Styela clava: one gene and its partners. The protein of the gene in region 1 purifies or fractionates together with the protein of each later gene. This does not show direct contact. Links are inferred from orthologs where the notes say so. Each region holds a gene or a part of one and is shown in the gene's direction. Other genes may lie near its edges.

The links. The genes of interacting proteins can lie anywhere in the genome.
Region 2: the proteins of MRG/MORF4L-binding protein-like (region 1) and vacuolar protein sorting-associated protein 72 homolog purify together in Homo sapiens (co-immunoprecipitation; 5 studies listed by BioGRID and IntAct, counting the BioPlex papers as one, with this or other methods). This does not show direct contact. The link is inferred for Styela clava from reciprocal best matches to the Homo sapiens genes MRGBP and VPS72.
Region 3: the proteins of MRG/MORF4L-binding protein-like (region 1) and inhibitor of growth protein 3-like purify together in Homo sapiens (co-immunoprecipitation; 4 studies listed by BioGRID and IntAct, counting the BioPlex papers as one, with this or other methods). This does not show direct contact. The link is inferred for Styela clava from reciprocal best matches to the Homo sapiens genes MRGBP and ING3.

What each region holds. Positions count from the first base shown.
Region 1 is NC_135261.1:10,775,868-10,782,683, reverse strand, and holds MRG/MORF4L-binding protein-like, read left to right. Parts: upstream 1-4,395; 5' UTR 4,396-4,465; coding exon 4,466-4,966; 3' UTR 4,967-6,212; downstream 6,213-6,816. Other genes in the region: very-long-chain (3R)-3-hydroxyacyl-CoA dehydratase-like, read left to right, coding at 6,247-6,816.
Region 2 is NC_135254.1:7,385,268-7,392,911, forward strand, and holds vacuolar protein sorting-associated protein 72 homolog, read left to right. Parts: upstream 1-4,974; 5' UTR 4,975-5,025; coding exon 5,026-5,973; 3' UTR 5,974-7,070; downstream 7,071-7,644. Other genes in the region: kelch-like protein 12, read left to right, coding at 1,306-1,313, 1,936-3,643; dimethyladenosine transferase 1, mitochondrial-like, read left to right, coding at 7,528-7,644. UniProt on the Homo sapiens protein: Deposition-and-exchange histone chaperone specific for H2AZ1, specifically chaperones H2AZ1 and deposits it into nucleosomes.
Region 3 is NC_135257.1:15,701,916-15,708,891, forward strand, and holds the start of inhibitor of growth protein 3-like, read left to right. Parts: upstream 1-3,902; 5' UTR 3,903-4,479; coding exon 4,480-4,572; intron 4,573-4,953; coding exon 4,954-5,103; intron 5,104-5,273; coding exon 5,274-5,444; intron 5,445-5,651; coding exon 5,652-5,889; intron 5,890-6,381; coding exon 6,382-6,976. UniProt on the Homo sapiens protein: Component of the NuA4 histone acetyltransferase (HAT) complex which is involved in transcriptional activation of select genes principally by acetylation of nucleosomal histones H4 and H2A.

The sequences.
Region 1 (6,816 bases):
ATAGCACGCTCCAATGCACATACTTGACGAGACGAAAACGAGCGGATGTGTGCTGCTTTCAAGGCGTAGCACGAATGGTGTTCGTGCCTGCTTTGACAGTTGTTGTCGATTTTAATGATATTTTGGAAAGTTAAGGTAAAAAAAATCGGAAAAAGGTAAGGTAAATACTATTATTGTATATCACACCCGGTCATCGCACTGTTAAGTACATGTGGGAAAGCCAGCCTTTGTCAAATACTACGAAGTTATTAATTCAGTACGGTACGTAGTTGCCCATTTGCCGGAATTATATACCAAATTCAGTAAAATATTTTTTACATAAAACATGAGATATTGGATTTATTAGCTTTTCCATTCTAAATCATATAGACTGCTTTATTTATTCTTAACGAAAATTAATAAATCTCCTCTGTTTCTTCAGATGTGAAAGTTGTGGACAAACCTGTCTAAGCATTGTGAGACTCCTGCAGCACCTTTTTATTCACAGGACAACTGTAGCAGAAGGGGAGATATCAGAAGTCTGGCGACATATCAGTGACAGTGTGATTCCAAGAAATATAATTAGAGTACTCTGCAATAGAAAAACAACCTATGGAGACATGCAAAGACATTTGACCCTCCGGTAGAGTTGTGTATGGCCCCCACATCCTGCAGGGCTTGAGGAAAATAACTAAAAATTCAAAAGCGTAAAATTGCATACTCGGTCTTATTTGTAAAAAGGCACAAAACACGCCAGACATACTTAAAACAGCTTTGGAAAATGAGGATTACGGGTAACTCACTGCACCTGTGTTATATTTGGTTCATCAACTTTTGGTAGTACTATAGAAGAAATTCCGGAAGGGGTATAATCATCATTCATGATAAAATACTATCATATATTTTTTGCACAACTTCAATCTAGACCAGGGATCTCAAACTCGCGGCCCCAGAGAACTTCCAGTGCGGCCCTCGAACGCTTAACAATAATTGTAATAGTATTTTGGAAGTTTTTTTTTGTCTAAATGTAATAGATTTTTCAAACCTTTTAAAGTGAAATTGATTATTCACACAGAATACAATTTACTGAAAGAAGTTTTGGAATAATAATTTTTTTTGTCCACATTTTGACCCAATTAAGAATACACATCAAGCTTGCAAAAGAATACTTGAATAAAACACTTGAGTGATTAAATTAAACGCAAAGTACATGAAGGAGGTGGCATTTTCGAAGAAAATGGGAGTTGTAACATTTCTGCTTTTCACAAAATTCTGAAGCACATTGTTTAATTTGTCATATTTCCATCAATACAATGAAAAAACACAATAAGCTCAGCAGTCAATATGACAAATTCGAAGACCAACTTCGGACAGAAAATTTCCATGTGTTTGTATATTAATATAATTATACAACGACTTAGTTACTAAAAATCAATATCAATAATAATTCAAGCGATCCTATACCACGCAATGTGGTGCGAAATGTCTTCTCAAAAAAATCTGTCATTTGTTTTTTTTACTGATCTATACATGAAATGATAAAAGTAACTTTTTTGTATTACTGGAGTTAATTAAACATTCGCAAAGATCCAGATTAACCCATGATCATGTGGCCTCGTTAGTTAGAGTCGGTACTATAAAATCATTACAGCCTGGCCTTAGTATGCTGGTGACACAAAAAAGATGCCAAACGTCAGGACAAATGTAATTATTAAAACATTGAGTTTATACTGTAGTATTTTTGTTAATTTTAGGTTCATATATTTAGATTAAGTTATTTTTAGTGTATGTATTATTCTTTCCTTATTCAAAGCTTGTTCAAAAATGATTTTGATGGTTGTACATAGAATTTTATAATTTTTTATAATAAATACAGTAACTTGCAAATGTTGCAATAATAGTGGAATGCAAATATTAATATGTAATTGCATTTGAAATTGAAGAAAATTTTAAAACTTAATCCAACTGTTTAGTTGCATCACAATATATGTCACAAACTAAAACTATCTTAAAAATATCTTTTAAGTATACATTATCAAAAACTGTTTGCGGCTCTTTTTACAATTTCCGAAATGCAATGCGGCTCTCGAAAACCCATAAGTTTGAGACCACTGATCTATTCCAGACGATTCAAGAATTGCTTTGGGAAATAATATCACTTCAATTATTTTGAAATAATCTCGCTATATTGAATACAAAATCGTTGCTATCATAAAGGTAAACCAATTCAGCCACTCGAAATATATTGGCCTTCACAAAGCAATGGAGGCAAAATTGAGAGTTCATGAGCTATGAACATTTGTTCTTTTCTTTGTCTTGAACTTTTCATACTCCACAGCCCCTATTAATTTTTTTTAATTTTAATTACCATGTGATGGTCATACATATCTTTAACTTGTATTTTATGTCATGATGTATTATCTCAATGTGCCAAACTATTAATTAGTGTGCATATTTTGCTTCCAGATGACATAAATGTATTGTCTTGTTTATTACCTCAGCTTGGAGTATTGACAAGAAAAAGGTGCCAGTAAATTAGATAAAAATTTTTTAACTCTTTGTTATAATCAGAATTCACAATCAATAGGAATTATAAACAGCCAACAATCAATGAGAATTATATGCGAAATCCCTCAGAATAAATTTGTCTAAAATCGGAGGAAGGCAAAAAATATAGGTAGTTTCCATCCACACAAGCATTTCAAGAAGACTTGCTCGAGCCAAACTAAATGAGCATCGTCAGGTGGTCGGTAAGGCTGCAAGTTGAATTCAGCCCTGCAACCTCCCGCATAGAAGATAATATTAATTAGTGGGCTATGAGCTAAATTCCTGAATTTAAACAAACCTATCTACGATGCATTATGTACCAGCAATGTTACCTACGATTAACTGAATATGTAATATGTCTAATCAATTCACCTACAAAAGCAAGTTCGATAGGTGCAAACTTGGAATTGTATGGAATTGTATCACAGCACAGTTTTGTATGACACCCCTCTTTAAATGAAATTTCAATGATTAAGCGCAAACATTAAAATTACTAACTTTGAACTTTGTCATTATCTGCAAAATGTTCCACACAAATCTTTCCGCTATCGCGTCTGTAATATTCTCTGATAAAAAAAAACTTTCTGATTTGATTCCAACTTTCCAAGTGAGCAAAAGTTCTTAGATATAGAGATTATTTTGTTTTGTTACAGGCGCAAAAAGGCAGGTACTACACGTAAAAAAGACACCGAGTAGCAAAAGCGAGCGGAAAACGGACGCGAAAGGCGACGAGAAATATGTGCATTGGAGCGTATCATGAAATACAATCTTCCGCCTGTAGTCTTATGGAGTGACGTCAGAGTTGCCTATCATCTTGTTTAATGTCATTGCCCCCACCTGACTACGTCTCCAAAATATTACGTCACTAGACGTCACAGTGTCGTGATAAACACCTCCAAATTATACGGATGGTCGAGTTAGGCGCTGATTCAGGATTTTACAGATTTGATAAATTCTACAACCACACATCAGGGTATCCAAGTGCAGTTTTAAGTATTCTGTGGCGTCTGCAGCTGCCGCAAAACCATGGCGGTATTTCCATACCACAGCCAAACCTATGGCGTCCAAATTGGTCCCAATGAACACCTCAATGATGGCGACTGACTTTTTAGCTGCCACAAACCAAGGACGAGATGCCGTTACCGCGGCAGCAAATTGAAAACCAATGGTTTGTAAAATTTTGCTGCCGTAAACACGGCAGGTGGGCCGTAGAGACAGGGATGTCGCTTATGGTGACAAATATTGGGTACCGTTAAAATCTGGTACATTAATTTGTGAATATACCGTAAATACTGATTACTGAATAGCGCTATAAAACCATGGCAATAGCTGCCGCGGTTAGTTCGTGGCAGGAGCTGCCATGAAGTGGTAAGAACTGCGCCTCAGGGGATCAGTCGAATATCATTTGACTAATGATTAGACATTGTATTGGGAGTACGGTATCATTTAATCTAGTATCTTTTTTTCTGTTTTTGCATCAATTTACGGTACCGTACCATACAGCCATACTACTTGACTACTGTACGGTATCCTGTCTCTGTTATACCGGCGGTACCGTTTAATTATTACGGTATGTCTGTATTAGATATTGTTACATTTTTGAGGCAAATAAACATGCACACATACGGTACCGTACCGCTAATGTACTACCGGTACCGGTACCGCCGGTACTAGACTACCGGTATATCTCAGATTTTTTTTCACACGGTTACAGGTACCGGTATTAATCCAGAAAGCATACCGTTCGGTACAGCTGTACAGGGATTTGAGATTGAGATCTGTATGTTCTGATGGTTGGGAAAATTTATTCGTCTTTATCTGAAGGTTCCAAATCCAGTAGTCTTTTGAAAGGTCGCAAAGTAAATAGGCCTACATATTTAAGTTTTTTATTTATTTTTAATCAGACTTATATTACAGTATTATACAGTTCTGTAGAAAAATGGGTGAAATAATTGAGCGACCATCAGTATCACCCATACTTTGGAATGCGGATACTGAAGTTTGTCTATTTTATGCCATGCGAGGACATAAACCTGTCGGAATTAATAAACATTTTCATATGATGGGAATTCACAGTAAATTTGCTCAATCTTTGGGACAACCTGTAACGAGTGCTCAAATATGGGAACATTTATCAACAATGTATAATCTTGCAGTATTGGATGAATCAGACGCTTTGCCTTTTAATAACAATGTAAAGCATTTTCAACTACCTGAAGACATTTTAAATTTTGGCAAAGATAAAACAAAAAAAGAGCAGCATGAGGCTGCAGTAAAAACGCCATCAACAGCAAAGTCATCCTCAAATAAAGATTTACAGCTGCAAAGCAAAAGCACACCTCCAAGTGCAAAAAGCAATAGAAAACGAACTAGAAATGTTACATCGGTAAGTCCTGCTGTCGGAGCTTCCGGTCCCGGATCAAGTAAGCGGAGGCGGTGATTTAATCCCATTTTCACGAGAATGATGTTACATTCAGACATATGTCAATTATTCGGAAAAAAGTGAAATGTTTGAAAGGATTAAATGCGATGCAAGAATCAAAAGTTGGCCCGGACAGTAGGATGTGAATCAAGATTAAAACAATTTGTGACGAAGCGGAACTTTTTTCTAATAGATAATTTAAAAGCAAATATGTTCATTTTTTGTGTAATTTCTGCTCAAAAATAGTTTTGCTGTTTTCTATGATTAATTTTTTATGAAAATCCTAAGTCAAGCTAAAAACTTCTTTACCAACAAGATGTTCCAATGCCTATTTTGGCTCCAAATTAAACTTTGAACCATTCATGTTGCTATGACTATGACTACATTATCAACATATAATAATCTAATTACTGATCACTCTTGAGATAATCACGAATTTACAAAGACCAATATGTATTTTTTTCTATTTTTATGGCATTCCAATCATAAGTTTTTAGCGAGGGGTATATGTGCATCATTTAGCAATACAAAATATAAACTCAGAATTGTTATTCGCTATGTAAACATTGCCATGATGATATATAGATTTTTATAATCATTGTAAATACAAAAACGAGACGACTTGGATTAATCAAAGAGATATCACTTAAGCATTGTTCACTAATGCTTTGTTCTGTATGTACAATGTGTATTTTCGGCATGTGTAAAAATAAACTACTGATACTGTTGAGAGACTTGCTCACCCTTGTTTCTGCCACTTGGAGTTATTAAAGTTAAGAGCGAGTCTTAGCCAAAGTGGTCCGAGCATATATCTCCTGTGTAATATCATTTAGCTTTGTTCAGTTATTAATAATTGACAAGAATTGCGATTGTATTCTTACAATGATATCACTTTAAACTATGGGCCTATATTATTCTGGATGTTGTATCAAGTATTTCATTATGAACGCTTTGTATAGTGGAATTGAGCTCATTGTTGGTTAAGTTTGCTTAACACTCTAGATATATATATATTTCATCAGAAATTTTGTTAGCCAATTATCAAAATGTGAATTTTTTTGGTTTTGGCTTACTTGATAGATAAAAATCAATTTTCGATTTAATTATCAAATAACAGAATTGGCGAGGCAAGATGAATTTGTGAAGGTATTATTCACTGATATACTATAATTTGTTAAAAATTATTGTTATTTTAGGTGACCGAATGTCATAATAGTAGTTTTGACTTTATCATACCAGTAAATTTTTCCTCCTTTTTCCATAGCTTTATGCATTTTAATAAATAGGCATTTTGCATAATGGGTGATGGAGAATATGCAACCTTGTTACCCACTGTAAGATGGGCACAACGCAAGGATATGCTGAGCTTAAAGATAGAGTTGCAACAATGTCATCATCCTAATATTGTACTGAAGACTAAATCCATGACATTCGAGGCCAAAGGCGTTGGAGCAAACGGTGAAAATCAGTACAAGTTTTCATTAGAATTCTATAAACCAATTGATGAAGAAAGTTGTATTCATAAAGTCACTGGATCATCTGTTGAAGTTTTCTTAACAAAAGAAGGAATGGGTGAATGGTGGCCTCAATTAACTTCGCAAAAAAAGAGTCCCCATTTCTTGAAACTGGATTTTGACAAGTGGAGGTCCGAGTCTGATGAGGAAGATGAAAAAAGAAAGGAACAGGAATCGTCTTTCCTGAGAGAATTGAAGAATGAAAAGAAGAAATACGAGGAAACAGTAGATATGCTAAGGAGAGGATATCTCGTTCTTTATAACGTCATACAGTTTCTAGCTCACTGTTATATATTTTTCTTTCTCACTGTCAATATTTTTAGAGGTGGAACGAAGCTTTTTCCCATTGCTTAT
Region 2 (7,644 bases), on another chromosome or scaffold:
ATTAGATGATGAACTTCCCTTTTTCCTTATGGTATTATGAAATCAAACATTGTTATTAATAAATTCCTACCCAAAATACTGGAAGATCCTTGATGCCATTTTCACAATTCAAATTATTTTTCAATTCAACCTTGAAGATATGCCGCTCATCAGTATTGTAAATCTTCCTGTGCATTGATGAAACCTCCACCATTGGAGACCTGTAATACTGTTTCGAGTTACGAGGTGTCAGAGAGACTGGTCTAGTTTGACGAGTGGCCATTTTCCAATCTGGCAAGAAATACAAATAAAATTCAGGTATAATAAACACATTTCATGTACATACTGTTTTTTTTGGTACTTGGGAATGTGTTATAAATATGTGTTGCACTGAATGAAGTCACCGACTAATGAGTACAGCGGGATGGGTGAGGACAGAAAATGGTCACTGAACAATCATTAATTCATTACAGATGCTCAAATAAATACTAAGATTCTGTAGAAAGTGGTAGGATGGATGCCTATGATTTTATATGTTCCGGTACCGGTATACCCGGTACCTAATAAGAAATGGTGATCCCACTTTGGCCCAAAACCGGTAATTAGGGCCACGAAAGCATATTTTGACGGTGGTTTTGCTTAGGATATACGGTATGCTACCTTCAGTGAATATAGCAAGACTTAGCAACTAGCCTAGATTGAAAGGGTGCCGAATTCGATAAACCATATATTTACGGATAAACCCATTATACTTTTGGTTGGAGGCCAACGACTTTGCTTTGAGCAACCTTGTAAATAAAACTGTAAAATGATACCGTACATCAAGTCTCACTGTTCGCCTGTATAATTGCGAATGTTTACATGTCCCGAGTTATACACTTTCAGAGTATATTTGTTCATCATTTGGGGTTTAATCATCGCTAGTTTAACTCAGGGTGCTCCAAACCCAGGCCCGTTATTACCCAGCTTCATGTGGCCCGCGTCGCATTCGCAGAGTAATCAAAAAATTGCATTTGGGGTTGATGAGTTTAGTGTGTTTTTTGGTGGTTTTTGCATGTTATAGCTTGATAAATGACCAATACTGATGAGTGTCTGTACAATAAAAGGGTTTTGTATTGCCCCGTTTATCTAATCTTGGCACTATTGTGGCCCGCGAACGATGAAAAAATAATTTTATTGTCCCGGAGCCGACAACCTTGGACCACCCTAGTTTAACTTATGGGTGTGACGTGGCATAAAGAATGCGTATATTTTTAAACATAACTTGACGAGTCCGGCAAAGTGAGCCCCTTGAAAACCAATGAAAAGTGCTCGGTCAGGTCATGGATGAGCAGGTAAGCAACGTGTTTCTGTGATTCGCATTTATAAAATTCGAAATGTAATTGCACATGGGTTTAAGTTATTACTGATGAATATCATAATTATTTATTTGTTTTATTTAATATTTGAATGTTGTTATGAAAACGATTAACGGCGCGGAATTTCCTTAGTTGTAAGTGGCGCATTCATCTGATTTGGGAAATTGAAGGACGCGTCTTTACTTTTTACCTTGTGTACACGAATCCCGCGTTCGTTGATAGTGACTCGCTAAAAGTTTTACAACAGAAAGCGAAGGTACCGGTACCGCATTTGTTGAATTGAGATTAATTCTATAATAGCGATTTGAATATATTATATTGAGAAACCGTGACATATCGTCTCCTTACTTTACTGTCTAAATAGACTACAACTAGCATTGTTGAATTGAGCTACCGTACCGTACATTTTATATTTATGTAATATTCGAAAACTGTGGCATACAGGCATACGGTACCGACACCCTACTATTGCTTTTTTATCGGCATATAGTACCTGTAACATTGTATCAGTGGGTAGCCGAACTTCAGCGCTGTTCTGTAATTAACCTTCTGTATGACCATCTTAGTAGGCTATTTTATGCTTGTTTTACTGTTTTAGAAGAGTGGCCATAACTGTCAAAGTCTTGTTGGGTTCTGGTTTAGTTTTCACAATCACAAAAATGGAACTAACTGCTGACGGATATGATAAAGATCATTGTGCAGAAATAATGAAGAAGCTTAACGAAATGAGAAAAAATAAAGAATATTGTGACATTGCAATAAAGGTTGGTAATGAAGAAATCTTAGCACACAGAAATATTTTGTCCACAGGGTCAGACTATTTCAGAGCAATGCTGTTTCATGAAAATGTTGAAAGTCGATCTGGCGTCATTCAAATGAAACAAACTGAATTTTCAAGCGTTAGGATTTGCATTGATTTCATTTACACTGGACATGTTAGCATTCCTGACTCTAAAAATTGCAAACAACTAATGCATACTGCTCATATTATGCAGCTACAAAAAGTTTGCGAGAATGTTGCGACATATCTTCGAAAGAAAATAAATATAGAGTCGTTTTATTCAGCAAAGATAATTGCAGATATGTTCAATTGTACAAAATTACTTGAATGTTGTGAAAAGTTTGCTTTAAAAAATTTTCAACATTTAGCTATGAAGGATGATTTTAAACATTTAGAGAAGGAATTTGTTTCTTTGTTGATTGGATCACGGAATACAAAAGCTTCCGAAGACATAAAATGCAAGGCTCTGATTATTTGGACAAATTTTGAGAGAGGAACTCGAACTTCTACTTTTGAAGCACTTTTTGAAAAATTGAATTTGACTAAAATTGCTTCGAAATATCGGTCATATCTTATTCAAAAAGAGCCTTCAGTTTTCAACTCAGATTTATGTACGAGTGCTCTAACTCAAGCCAATGATTTAACAAATGTAGAGCCAGAGGATGTTGACATAGCCACCTCAAAATTTGTGACTAATGAAAATGTAATTGCAGTGTTTAGTAAAACAACATGTTCCATCCATGTTTTCAATCCATTTCTGAAAACCTGGACAGAAATGCAGAAGATCGATAAGGAATTTGTTGCTAAATACTTCACTGCAGCAGTGCTTAATGACATTATATATGTTTTTGGAAATTACGGGAACAATTATAAGTTGGATTACATCGACATCAATGCTACATGGGTTCGACTGGACGATCGAAAATCAGCTAAGAAACGTGCGATCGGTGTTGCCTTTGGCAACTATATTTACGCATTTGCTGATCATGGTTGGTATAGTAATGCTGTTGAGAAATATGACCCATATGATGGAACTTGGTCTGATGTCACGCATAAGCCAGTGGAAGGATTTGGATCATCTATTGTTTCTCTTGAAAGTTTCATCTACTGCATAGGAGGGGTGAACAATACTGGACATATGTCGAATAACTTGAGATTTAATCCATTAGATTTAACATGGAGAGAACTTCCGTCAATGCCAACTGCACGAAAATTTTCTTCTGCAGCCGGACTCGAGGAAAAAATTTATGTAATGGGTGGGACTCAAAGCTTCCATTTGAATATTGTAGAGTGTTTCGATATAGTTGCAGAAACGTGGACCACTGTTGCTAGTTTAAACAATGCAAGGGCAAAGTTTACTTCATGTGTTGTGGGAGATAAGCTATTTGTTGTTGGAGGGGAGCTTTCTAACAATACAATTGAAGAACTGGATCCTGAGAGTAATAACTGGAATGTTGTAGATAAAATGAGTGGAAAATTCATTCAAGCCAATGCTTCCGTTCCACTGTATATTCTTCTCCCTTAGCAAAGGTTGAATTTGTTGATCTACTTCCCTACCTAGAAAAGTTTTCTGTCAACACACAACTGTTGTCTTTTAGATCTCATTTATTTGCTATCAGGTCGCCTTCCAGCTGGAAGACAAAAAACTGTGCTCGCAGTCTCACAAATCAGTTTTAGCTTCTGAACTCGGTTTGATTGCATTGTTTCAATTGTATTGACACACAAGTTCAGCAATTTTATGCGATTATTGTATTACTTATAAGTGTATAAAATTTGTATTGGGAATTAATATTCATCGATATTGATGTAATGGATCATTTGAAACCAGCACTGTGAAGTAGAAGCTTGTTATGTTTGTACTGGTATTGTAGGGAATTAAGAGAGACACCTTTTTAACGCAAAATGAAAGCGATAGAAATATTGGGAAACCGGCAGTTATGCAGAGGCGAGAGCCGTTGAAGCACGCACCCCGGCGCTTACTGACTTTGGCCGATATATATCGTTGGTTTACTGCCGATCGGAATTAATTTATATAATTTATATCGGCCCGATATATCAGTAGACCGATATATTGGTCGAGCTCTCATTATTAACATGAAAATATAATTTATATCATTATTATTTTATAACATATTATTATGAACACTGTATTCTTAGACTTGTGAATAATAGAATTTAAATTTTGTCTAAACCAAAATTACCATCAATGGCATTAGTTCATTTCCCACTGTGTATATCATTTCCACCAACTGCTTAATTCTATTTTTGTAAAATTTTTATTTCTACCATCTTAAATCCCTCATTTTATTCGCTGGTATATTCTTTCCTGAGCTGAATGACCATAATAACATGATTTGCGTTTTGAAAGCTGTTACTTTATTCCTTTTTGACAGTGTGCTTTTCTGAAAAATATTGTTGATGATGTGTATGTGGCTACTTTTTCTTTATATTGGCGTATTATACTTTTGAATGTTCAATTCAATTTTTTATTTATGTTAAAATCTTATTTGTAGGTATTTTATAAATACCGTTTTTGCCCCTTACACAGGGGAGGCCAGGATTATAGCGAATGTACCACTGATAATTCAAATAAAAGTACAAAAAAACAAAAAATTTGGGCAAAAATCTTACCGCCCAGAATTACTTCCTCATGTTATTAATCTTGGGTAACATTACTGCTCATTTGGTGCAAACTGTAACATATCGTATGTATGCTAACCACTGAGATATTGTGTTCTACAATTACATTACCACTGTTCCATGAGTTGGCATCTTTTTCATAGAGAAATAAAACACTTTCATATTATTTCCACTGTAGATATAACATATATTCCTGCATTTTTTTGTATTTTCAGACTCAAAATCGAATTTATAAATTTAGTGAAATTTTTTCTGCTATAAATCATCATGGCTGCTGCAAGAGAGCCACGTTGTACTGCAGGAAATCGGATGTCAAAGGTCATGGAAGAGGAACTAGACGAGGATGACTTTTATAAGACTACGTACGGAGGTTTTGAAGAGGAAAAAGAAGATAATGATTTTGAGTCGGACCAAGAAGATTCCGCAGACGAAGTCGACTCAGATTTCGATATCTCGGAAAACGATGAAATTGTCAGCGATCAAGATGAAGAAACTATAAAACAATCTGAGAAAAAACGAAAAAGAGGAGCGAACACAAAAGCTTATAAAGATCCCTCAATTAAAAAAGCAAAAAAAGATGAAAAAGAAATTAGTAAAAGTGATGATAACAAGGAAGAAAAAGTTCCGAAAGAGGCGAAAAAAACTGAACCAACTGCCGTAAACAATGACGGGCCAAGTCGTAAATCATCTCGTCGCGCCACGGCAGCAAATTCCTATTTAATAAGCATGAAAGTAAAAGAACGTAAAATCGCAGACCAAAAGAAAAAAGAAACTGTGAAAAAACCAATGGCTGGAGTGAGACGTTTGACCCAGGAAGAATTAATGCAAGAGGCGGAAAGAACGGAACGTAAAAACTTGAAATCGCTGCACAACTATCAACGTCTCGAAGCAAATCGAAAAAAATCTAGCACAAAAAAGCGAACATTTGCAGAACCAACAATCAAATACTTATCGACAACAATGCCATCAGTGGACCCGGATGAGCCATCAAAAATTTCGAGAGATTTTATAATTTTCTCTGAACCTGAAGTTTTTAAAAATGAATTCCACTGGAAAAAACAGCCTCGAATCAATAAACCTATATGTCCAGTTACAAATAAGCCTGCCAGATATATAGACCCACTTACTAATATTCCTTATTATGACATGGATGCTTTTAAACTTATTCGTGAAGCACATACTTTATCACTGGCAAAACGTGATAAGGTAAAATGATTCTATAAATTTCTGGTTACACCTGATGGTTACATCTGGCAGCCTCATTATCTGTGGCCCGTGTCACATTTGCTGGAGATTATTAATCAAAAATCGCATTTGTCTAGTCATAAAAATAACCAGAAAAATCTTTCGACATATTGTTGCATCACTAATGTCACTGAATTGACTAAGAGTTATGACGATTTGCACATTTTAGAAAGTTTTTTGATGGTCTTTGCATGTTTTAGCTTGATAAATGACAAATAATGATCGATGTGTTTGCACAATAAAAGTGTTTGTTTTTTATTGCACTGTTTGCATATTCTTGGCACTATTGTGGCCCCTGAACAATGCAAAATTAATATTGTTGTTCCCAAAGCGGACAACTTTGGACCACCCTGGCTTAGACTGATAGCTTCCTGATGCATAAGCCAACTTTTCCGATTCAAAAAGCATTTCCAGGAACATTCTTCTGTGGCAAGGTTACTAATTTACCGTAGTAAAATGCTCAGATGTTATGACCTTGCTGCCCATCAAAAAATAATTAACACTGTATAATGGTTTGGATTATTCACATTAAAAGCAACATGCGACTTAATCATGTAAATTTTTTTGATGAGTCATTTTAAAATCTATACGCTGTCATGTTCACCTGAAGTTGAACTCTTTCAAATTTTGTAAAATTGAGTATACACTGCCTTAATTTTTATTCTACATTTTTCCAAGCCTAAGCTATAGTGCAGTTCTGTTTATTTGTGAAAAAATTTCCAATCGCCTGAGATCTTGATTATCTTTATGTTTGTACCCTGGTCTGTTTTGTCATTTAGGGTACGGTAGGATTTACATATTTATCCCAAGGGAGAGGAAAGCTGCTAAGACGACTTAATCACATAAACCACAGTTTGTCGTCCGGTTACATATCCATGTCGGGTATGGGATTAATTAACCAGTTATTTGTTTCAGATGCATGGACTTGATGCTGAAGGAAGCCTTAACCGACTAGCAGTTATGTGAACCAGCCTATGGCGGCGAGGAGTCTACCAATCCTCTCACACATAATTATCTCCAATGGGATTCGAACCTGCGAACACACAAAAGGTAATCGGAGGTGCAGTGGCGAGCATATTCCTATCGCATAGCACGATGCGCCACACTGCCGAGCCCTCACTTAAATTTTCTAATATGTGACTGTTAAACCTATTAAAATTATTCGGAGTGTATCTCTTTGTTTGTGCTGCAAAATTTTTCCAATTTTTCATGTATAAGATTTTGGTAATGTTTACTAGGGTTCCATTACATTTGAACCCACGGACATTTGAACCCATGACAATTGCACCTGCATACTATTGCACATATGGAAATTTTTTTGTTTTACCGATAATTGAACCCATACTCACCCTAACCCATGGGTTTTAGCAACCGCATATAGATTGAACCCGCGGATATACGCATGGGTTCAAATGTCCGGTCACCGTTTACTAGATATCAGTAATATCTGGTCTGTTACTCTGAAAGAAAAGTTTTTCTTCATTATTTCCATTTATATCAATTATTTTCTTTTCTAGATTGAATATGCCACCAAAGTTAAGGTTACCGCCTCTGCCATCCATTGCAAGCATTCTTAAAATTTATAATGTCCGAGCAAAGAAACAGTTGGCGCAAAATTTTTTATTCGATCCGAGAATAATT
Region 3 (6,976 bases), on another chromosome or scaffold:
TGTTTTGCGTGTTACGCCACAAAGGATGTAGTGCCACATTATAAAATACACCTTGCGTCTTTTTCCCCAGGCCAAAAAAGGAGCTTTGTCGATGGTACGCGGCCATAATAAAAACAGTAAAGTGGTACGCGTTCAGTAAAAGGTTGAGAACCACTGCCCTAAAAGAACAGATCGACAGTGTTACAGCGCCCCCCAGTGTCCGCAATGCCAAAATACCAAATATGGAAACAATATCACATGACATCATTTAACATAGACTTACCCTAATTTCTTGGGCATAATCCGAGACAAACTCAAAACTATGAATGAAAGGCCGAAGGCTTGAGCTTGGCAATTTTTTTCCATATTTATATTTATAAACTTTAACATTGCATGGTAAAGTATTCTACTTAGATTAAATAAAAAAAATTATTACTATATTTAAAGGAAAATAGATGTTAATTTAAGCAACACCAAGTCACAAATCAGACATGTATAAGAAAAAATGAAAGAATAAACACCGAGAACAAAGAAATAACAGTATCTCACAAATCAAACATTTATACGGGAATGCAATCAGAAACCATTGGCTTTTTTGTTTGACCTTTCGTATTTTTCACTTGAGTGAACTGTATTCAGAAACTGTTTATTATTTCTAATTTTTTGTGTAAAACTCGTTACAGCTCAAGCCAATATTGAGTTTGCAAATCAATAAACCCTCTACTGTTGACTTCTTCATCGTACTCCTTTCATCTGACTAAATAGTTTTCATCATAGAAAAAGCTCTTTCAGCAAAAGCCGACGTGCCTGGTAGACAAAATATATATTCCATTACTTTTCTAAGATTAGCCACACTAAAGTGAAATTCCGGGACATTTTGCTAACCGGGACAGACGTTCAAACCGGGACTGTCCCGGCCAAACCGGGACGTATGGTAGGTCTGATTTAACAGATAAAACAAGGGTCGTCACATATGATATCGAAATCCATTGTGTGGTCTGGAAGTTTGAATCCTTCACTGATCTTTTTATGCATGCGCTACCTGTACCTGGTAGCGCCTCTATGGTGGCCCATCGTTGTCACGCGTAAAATTGAAAATAAAAATAAAAAAACGAAAATAAAAAAATTGTTGTAAAAAAACATAAAAATTATTAAAAAAAAAAATTAAAATTAAAAAAAAATAAATAAATAAAAATGAAATAAAAAACAAAAAAAAAAAATTTAAAAAAAAAAAAAAATTAAAAAAAAAAAAAATTGAATAAAAAGGTTGACAACGATGGTCCGCCTCGTGGCCCATCGTTGTCACGCGTTTTTATTTTTAAAAATTTGCTTCTGCTTGGGACCAACATTGTCAGGCATAATCCTACGCGCACAAATGTGTTCCCTGGGTTTCAAACTCACTACTGATTTTCTTGAGCAATATTCAATATGAAAATGTTCTATAAATTCTCCATGCTACAAGTTCAACAAGAAGTAATATATTTATAATAATGATAAGAGAATATAGAATTGAATACGAAAATTCGGAAAATTTGTTTTTACGTGTATAAGGTAATTTAATTGGAGAATGCTGCTTAACTACTCAGTTGTCTGGACACTCGCGATGCCGGTACCGTCTTACCAAATACCGGTAGTCGGTTATAGTCGCTTTGCGTCTGACCGTACCGGTAGCCATACAATCACTCATGAAAGAATGGGAGATACGGATAGTCTCGTAGAATATAGACTACTGAAACACTCTCTGCGCCTGCCCCATACCGTACAGCCGTAACGTACCGATCCAGACAAATGATAAATCGCCCGTGCTCAACCATTTATTTCAATCCATACCTCGATCCTAGTAGAATATAGTGAGTCGAGGTATGGATTGAAATAAATGATTGAGCACGGGCGATTTATCATTTGTCTGGATCGGTACGTTACGGCTGTACGGTATGGGGCAGGCGCAGAGAGTGTTTCAGTAGACTATATTCTACGAGACTATCCGTATCTCCCATTCTTTCACGAGTGATTGCATGGGTACCGGTACGGTCAGACGGTACCGTACCGGCATCGCACGAGTGTCTGAGCAGTTAAGCAGCATTTTCCAATTAAATTATCTTCTACACGTAAAAACAAATTTTCGTATCCAATTCTATATTCTCTTATCATTATTATAAATATATTGCTTGTGGTTGAACTTGTAGCATGGAGAATTTATAGAACATTTTCATGTTGAATTTATTGGATATTGCTCATGAAAATCAGTAGTGAGTTAGAAACCCAGGAAACACATTTGTGCGTGTAGGATTAAGCCTGACAACGTTGGTCCCAAGCAGCATCAAATTTTCCAAAAATAAAAACGCGTGACAACGATGGGCCACGAGGCGGACCATCGTTGTCAACCTTTTTATTTTCTTTTTATCCAATTTTTATTTTTTTTGTTATTTTTTTTTATTTTTTTTTTAATTTTAATTTTTTTATTAAATTTTTTTTTTTGTTTTATTTTTCAATTTTTTTTTTAATTTCAATTTTTTTTTTTATTTCTTTTTTTTCAATTATTTTTATGTTTTTTCACAACTATTTTTTTATTTTCGCTTTTTCATTTTTTTTTTAAATTTTACACGTGACAACGATGGGCCACCATACGCCTCCACGAGAGACGAATTATTTCGAATTCCGCCTCCTCATGGCGTAGTCTGCGGCAGGGGGGCTGACAACTCGACTGCACAGACCAAAGCCCGTATGTACCTGACACAGACAACTCTTCAGAGACAATTCAGCTACAGAGAGGCCTGGTAGGTTGTCCGTCTTTTCGCATTTTCTACAGCGAGCTTTTAATACCATAGGAGTGTAATTTCGATTTTTTTCAGGGCTCCAGTGGCAAGAAAAACACATTACTGTAGTATTCTCGAGAAGAGCGATTGCTCGACTGGTGGGTGAGTTGTCTGCCTCTCGACATTGTATCTTCGCGTAGCGATTGTTTGGCACGGTACCTAGGCGAGTTGAGACGCAGGATACCGTAGGCTACGAAGATCACATTCGTGAATATCTATGTGTTACTGTCATATATAAAGGTTTAAATATGTTTAAAAATGCACATTGAAAACATCCAATATCAACAAATTTCAAACCCACGCGGCACGCAGTCCTATACCGTCAGCAGTCTAACATCACTAACGTTACAACAGACCCAAGTTTTTTTTGTAGACTATAGATATATTTGTGTAACTTGAACAAGGTATGTCACTCATGCACATAAAAATGCCTTCTCGGGAATACTAATCTGTTTTTCTCACCATTGGAGCCATAAAAAAATCGAAATTACATATCTGTAGTCTTGAAAGGTCGCCTTAGAAAATGCGGAAAGACGGACAACCTACCAGTCCTTTCTGTAGTCGAGTTGTCTTTGGTGAGTTGTCCGTGTAGTCGAGTTGTCCGCCTCCCGTACAGGCTGACCTAGTAGTATATATTTACGGGCTGACGGACATATCAATTAGGGGGGTCTGGTATAGTTTAGTACCACATGCACTTATAGTTGGCCTGGCTCAGCAATTTTTGCATATGCCATTCCTAACCCTAATTACGTCCTACGACGCCACAGTGGCGTAATAAATACCTCCCAAGTGTAAGGACGGTCGTCCAAAACGCACATACAATCACCCGAAATCGAGCAAGCTATTTCTCTCGTTTTCTCTTCGTAACGATCCCGATATGAGAGAGACCGCTGGCGTTAGGGAGTTTGATATCGTCGGCGCAGATGCCATTTCGGACGATGGTACCTGTACTTGGCAAGCTCTATGACGTCGTAGTGACGTAATTTTTGGATGACATACGGTACCGGTAGTTAGGTGGGGGTTAGGAATAACATACCGGTATACTAATATTGTTATGCTACGCCCACCGGAAGTACATGTGGTACTAAACTATACTGGACCCGTTACACAACTTGATGGGTCGCGGCCCATAGCCTGATGGGCCGAGGCCTAATTCCATGCGCCGTGGCCCCGGCCCATGGGCCTTAGAGGAGTCACCACTTCCACTCCACATTCCAGGCCTTACTGTATCAAAATGTTGACCAATACGGTAGCTGAATAGACTAGACAGCTAGAGAATGAAGGTTTCATTTATCACACAAACTTGCCCTTGCCTTGGAGTGTATAGTAATCAAATACGACATCAATATATTTTATTCTGATCTCTCCGGCATAAACAAAACACAACTAACGGTCAAACGAAATGCTGAAATTGTGGTACGTGGAAGGCAAGCATAACTAAGGATAAAAGTGAAAACGTACAACTACCTGCATGACCTGTGACAATATAAAACACAGTCAATATTGCACCACTACAGTGCTACCCTATGCACGGGGTCTCATATAAAATTGTTACGACACGCCCACTAGAAGTTATTCAGGTAAGAAAGTACATGAGACCCCACAAATCAAGAGCGTCAAATGAATTATATTTCAATTGCTCAAACTCTGTCTTACATACAGACATAAGCAGATCTAGACGATAATGTTATACTTAGAAGATTACGTTGAATTAATTGAGCACCTTCCGGTGGATGTGAGAGATAGATTTACTGATATGCGTGAAATGGATTTACAGGTACCGTGACGAAACAGTAATGCATTTCCAATTTTCTTATGTTTATTCTGTCTATTAGTGCCACTCAAAAATGGCCACCGATTCAATAATTAATTTTTTCTATGCTGATATTTCCAGTGAAATATAACTTCTGGATTTTTATAGTAACAAAATGAGTAGTTGAACACTGCAATTTGGTACATTGATAAAGGAAATTTACAATAAAACGTATCGGAATATTATTTTTATTCAATCATATTCTATGGCATTGATCTATGTTTATTTTTCAAGCAGTTCGATTTATTGGCTCATGCATATTGTCGAAATAAAACTATCCAGGCAGCCATATCCGTATTACAAAGTTGAGAGTGATCTTGACGGCTATTTTTTCTAATTCTTCAGGTTCAAAATACTGTAGATGATTTGAATGGAAGAGTTAAGTCATTATTTCGTGCATGCCTTGCGAAGAAAGGAAAGATTGATAATGCCGATGAAACCTTCGATGACATTCGAGCAACTTATCGCAAGGCATTGGATGACGCTGATGAGAAAGTAAATAACATCGAAACATAGTTATATTTTAATCTGTTTTCAATTTTGCATTTGGAAGTTGAGTATTCTACAATCAGAGATTATTTTATCATTAAACTTTCACAAATTAAATTATATTTACTGTTTTCACAAATGGGTTTCATTTTTTGTTTAATATAACATAAATTTAGGTACAATTGGCAAATCAAATATATGATTTGGTGGACCGACATCTTCGCAAACTAGATCAGGAACTTGCAAAATTTAAGATGGAATTAGAAGCAGACAATGGAGGGATTACTGAAATTCTGGAAAGAAGATCATTGGAGCTGGATAACCATGTATCTCAAACTGGCCACTCGGTAAATTGCTACTTTCATTTCCTGTTGTCTCTGAATATAACTTTGCGAATGAAATTTGAGAATAATAAATTGATAGATTCTTTGAACAGATGAACAAAATAAATTGATTGTCCAACTTTTATCTTGTAACATATTAATATTTTACTGAAAGTTTATATATATAAGTATATGGCATTAGGTATAATTTATTTTAAAAAACATTTGCAGAGTAGAAAACGGCTTGCACATGCCACCACAGTAGCTTCAAGTTCTGCTGCCATTTTGCCTGGAACATCAAATGGACCTGTGGATAAAAAATCGAGATTAGATGGTGCTTTTGATTTGTTGTATTCTCATTCCGAATCGGCACCACCTTCGGTATTATCACCAGATTTCTCAACAATAACTTCAGGGAATGATGTAGAAAGAAGTAACAGTCGGCCTCCATCAAGAAATTCTACTACGGGTTAGTTATATGGCTATTTTATTTTTGAATACGCAATTAATTTACAGTCCATGTCAATCATAGCTAGTGTTAAAATTTGTCAAGTTGCTGATTTCTGTAGCAAAAAGAAGAAATGGGGTCATGAAATGCATTTTGTGAATACCTAAAAAAGCAAGAGAACAGTGCTCGTATATATGGACATGAGTGTGAAATGACTAACATGGCTATAGCATTGTCCGCAAAATCAGGCCAAATGGTAAAAGAATTGCACTGTATTTCATATGAAGATGTGCCCATGATATATGAAACCAGCAGAATTTGGAGTGAAATATTGGACTCCAAAGATTGTGCGAAATTATAATAGCCTTTCATCTACTTCCAACTTGAAGATATGTTCTCACAACAACTGCTCTGTGTCTGAAATTTAGTAATCAGTGTTGCATATGTGTTAGTTTGACATTGTTATGAGACTAGTTTGCTGTATACATCATATGAACTAAAATCTATTTTCAGGTACCGGTCAATCTATCATTAGTGCTCTCCAGACTCCAGTTGCTACAGAGGGACAGTCAGTAAGGCATCCAGGAGGTTTGAAAACAAATAACATTGGAATTAAACTGTCAGAAACTACTATCAAACAGGAGGATTTCCAACAAGGATTACCCCCAGATTTTGTTGATTGTAAATTGCCTCTTAGTGAGGACATGATGGATGAAGACTCTTGCCATTCCACTCAGGATGGTCTATTAATGTCACCCACAGGTTCAAGACCATCTAGAACGAAAAAACAAACTTCACGTGCAGCTGCTTGGACTCAAGAGCGCATGCAGGCTGAGGCTAGGCGTGGTCATGCGCGAGAAAAAGATCATATTTCACCAAACAGCTCTATGGTTGAACTCGTCGGAGAAAGCAGTAATGCTTCTTCTGATTGGACACTCGATCCTAATGAGCCGCGGTATTGCATCTGTAACCAAGTGTCGTATGGTGAAATGGTTGGGTGTGATAATAGTAAATGCACAGTGGAATGGTTCCATTATGGCTGTGTTAATCTCACTGAAGCACCAAAAGGAAAGTGGTATTGTCCACAGTGCACTCAAACGATGAAAAG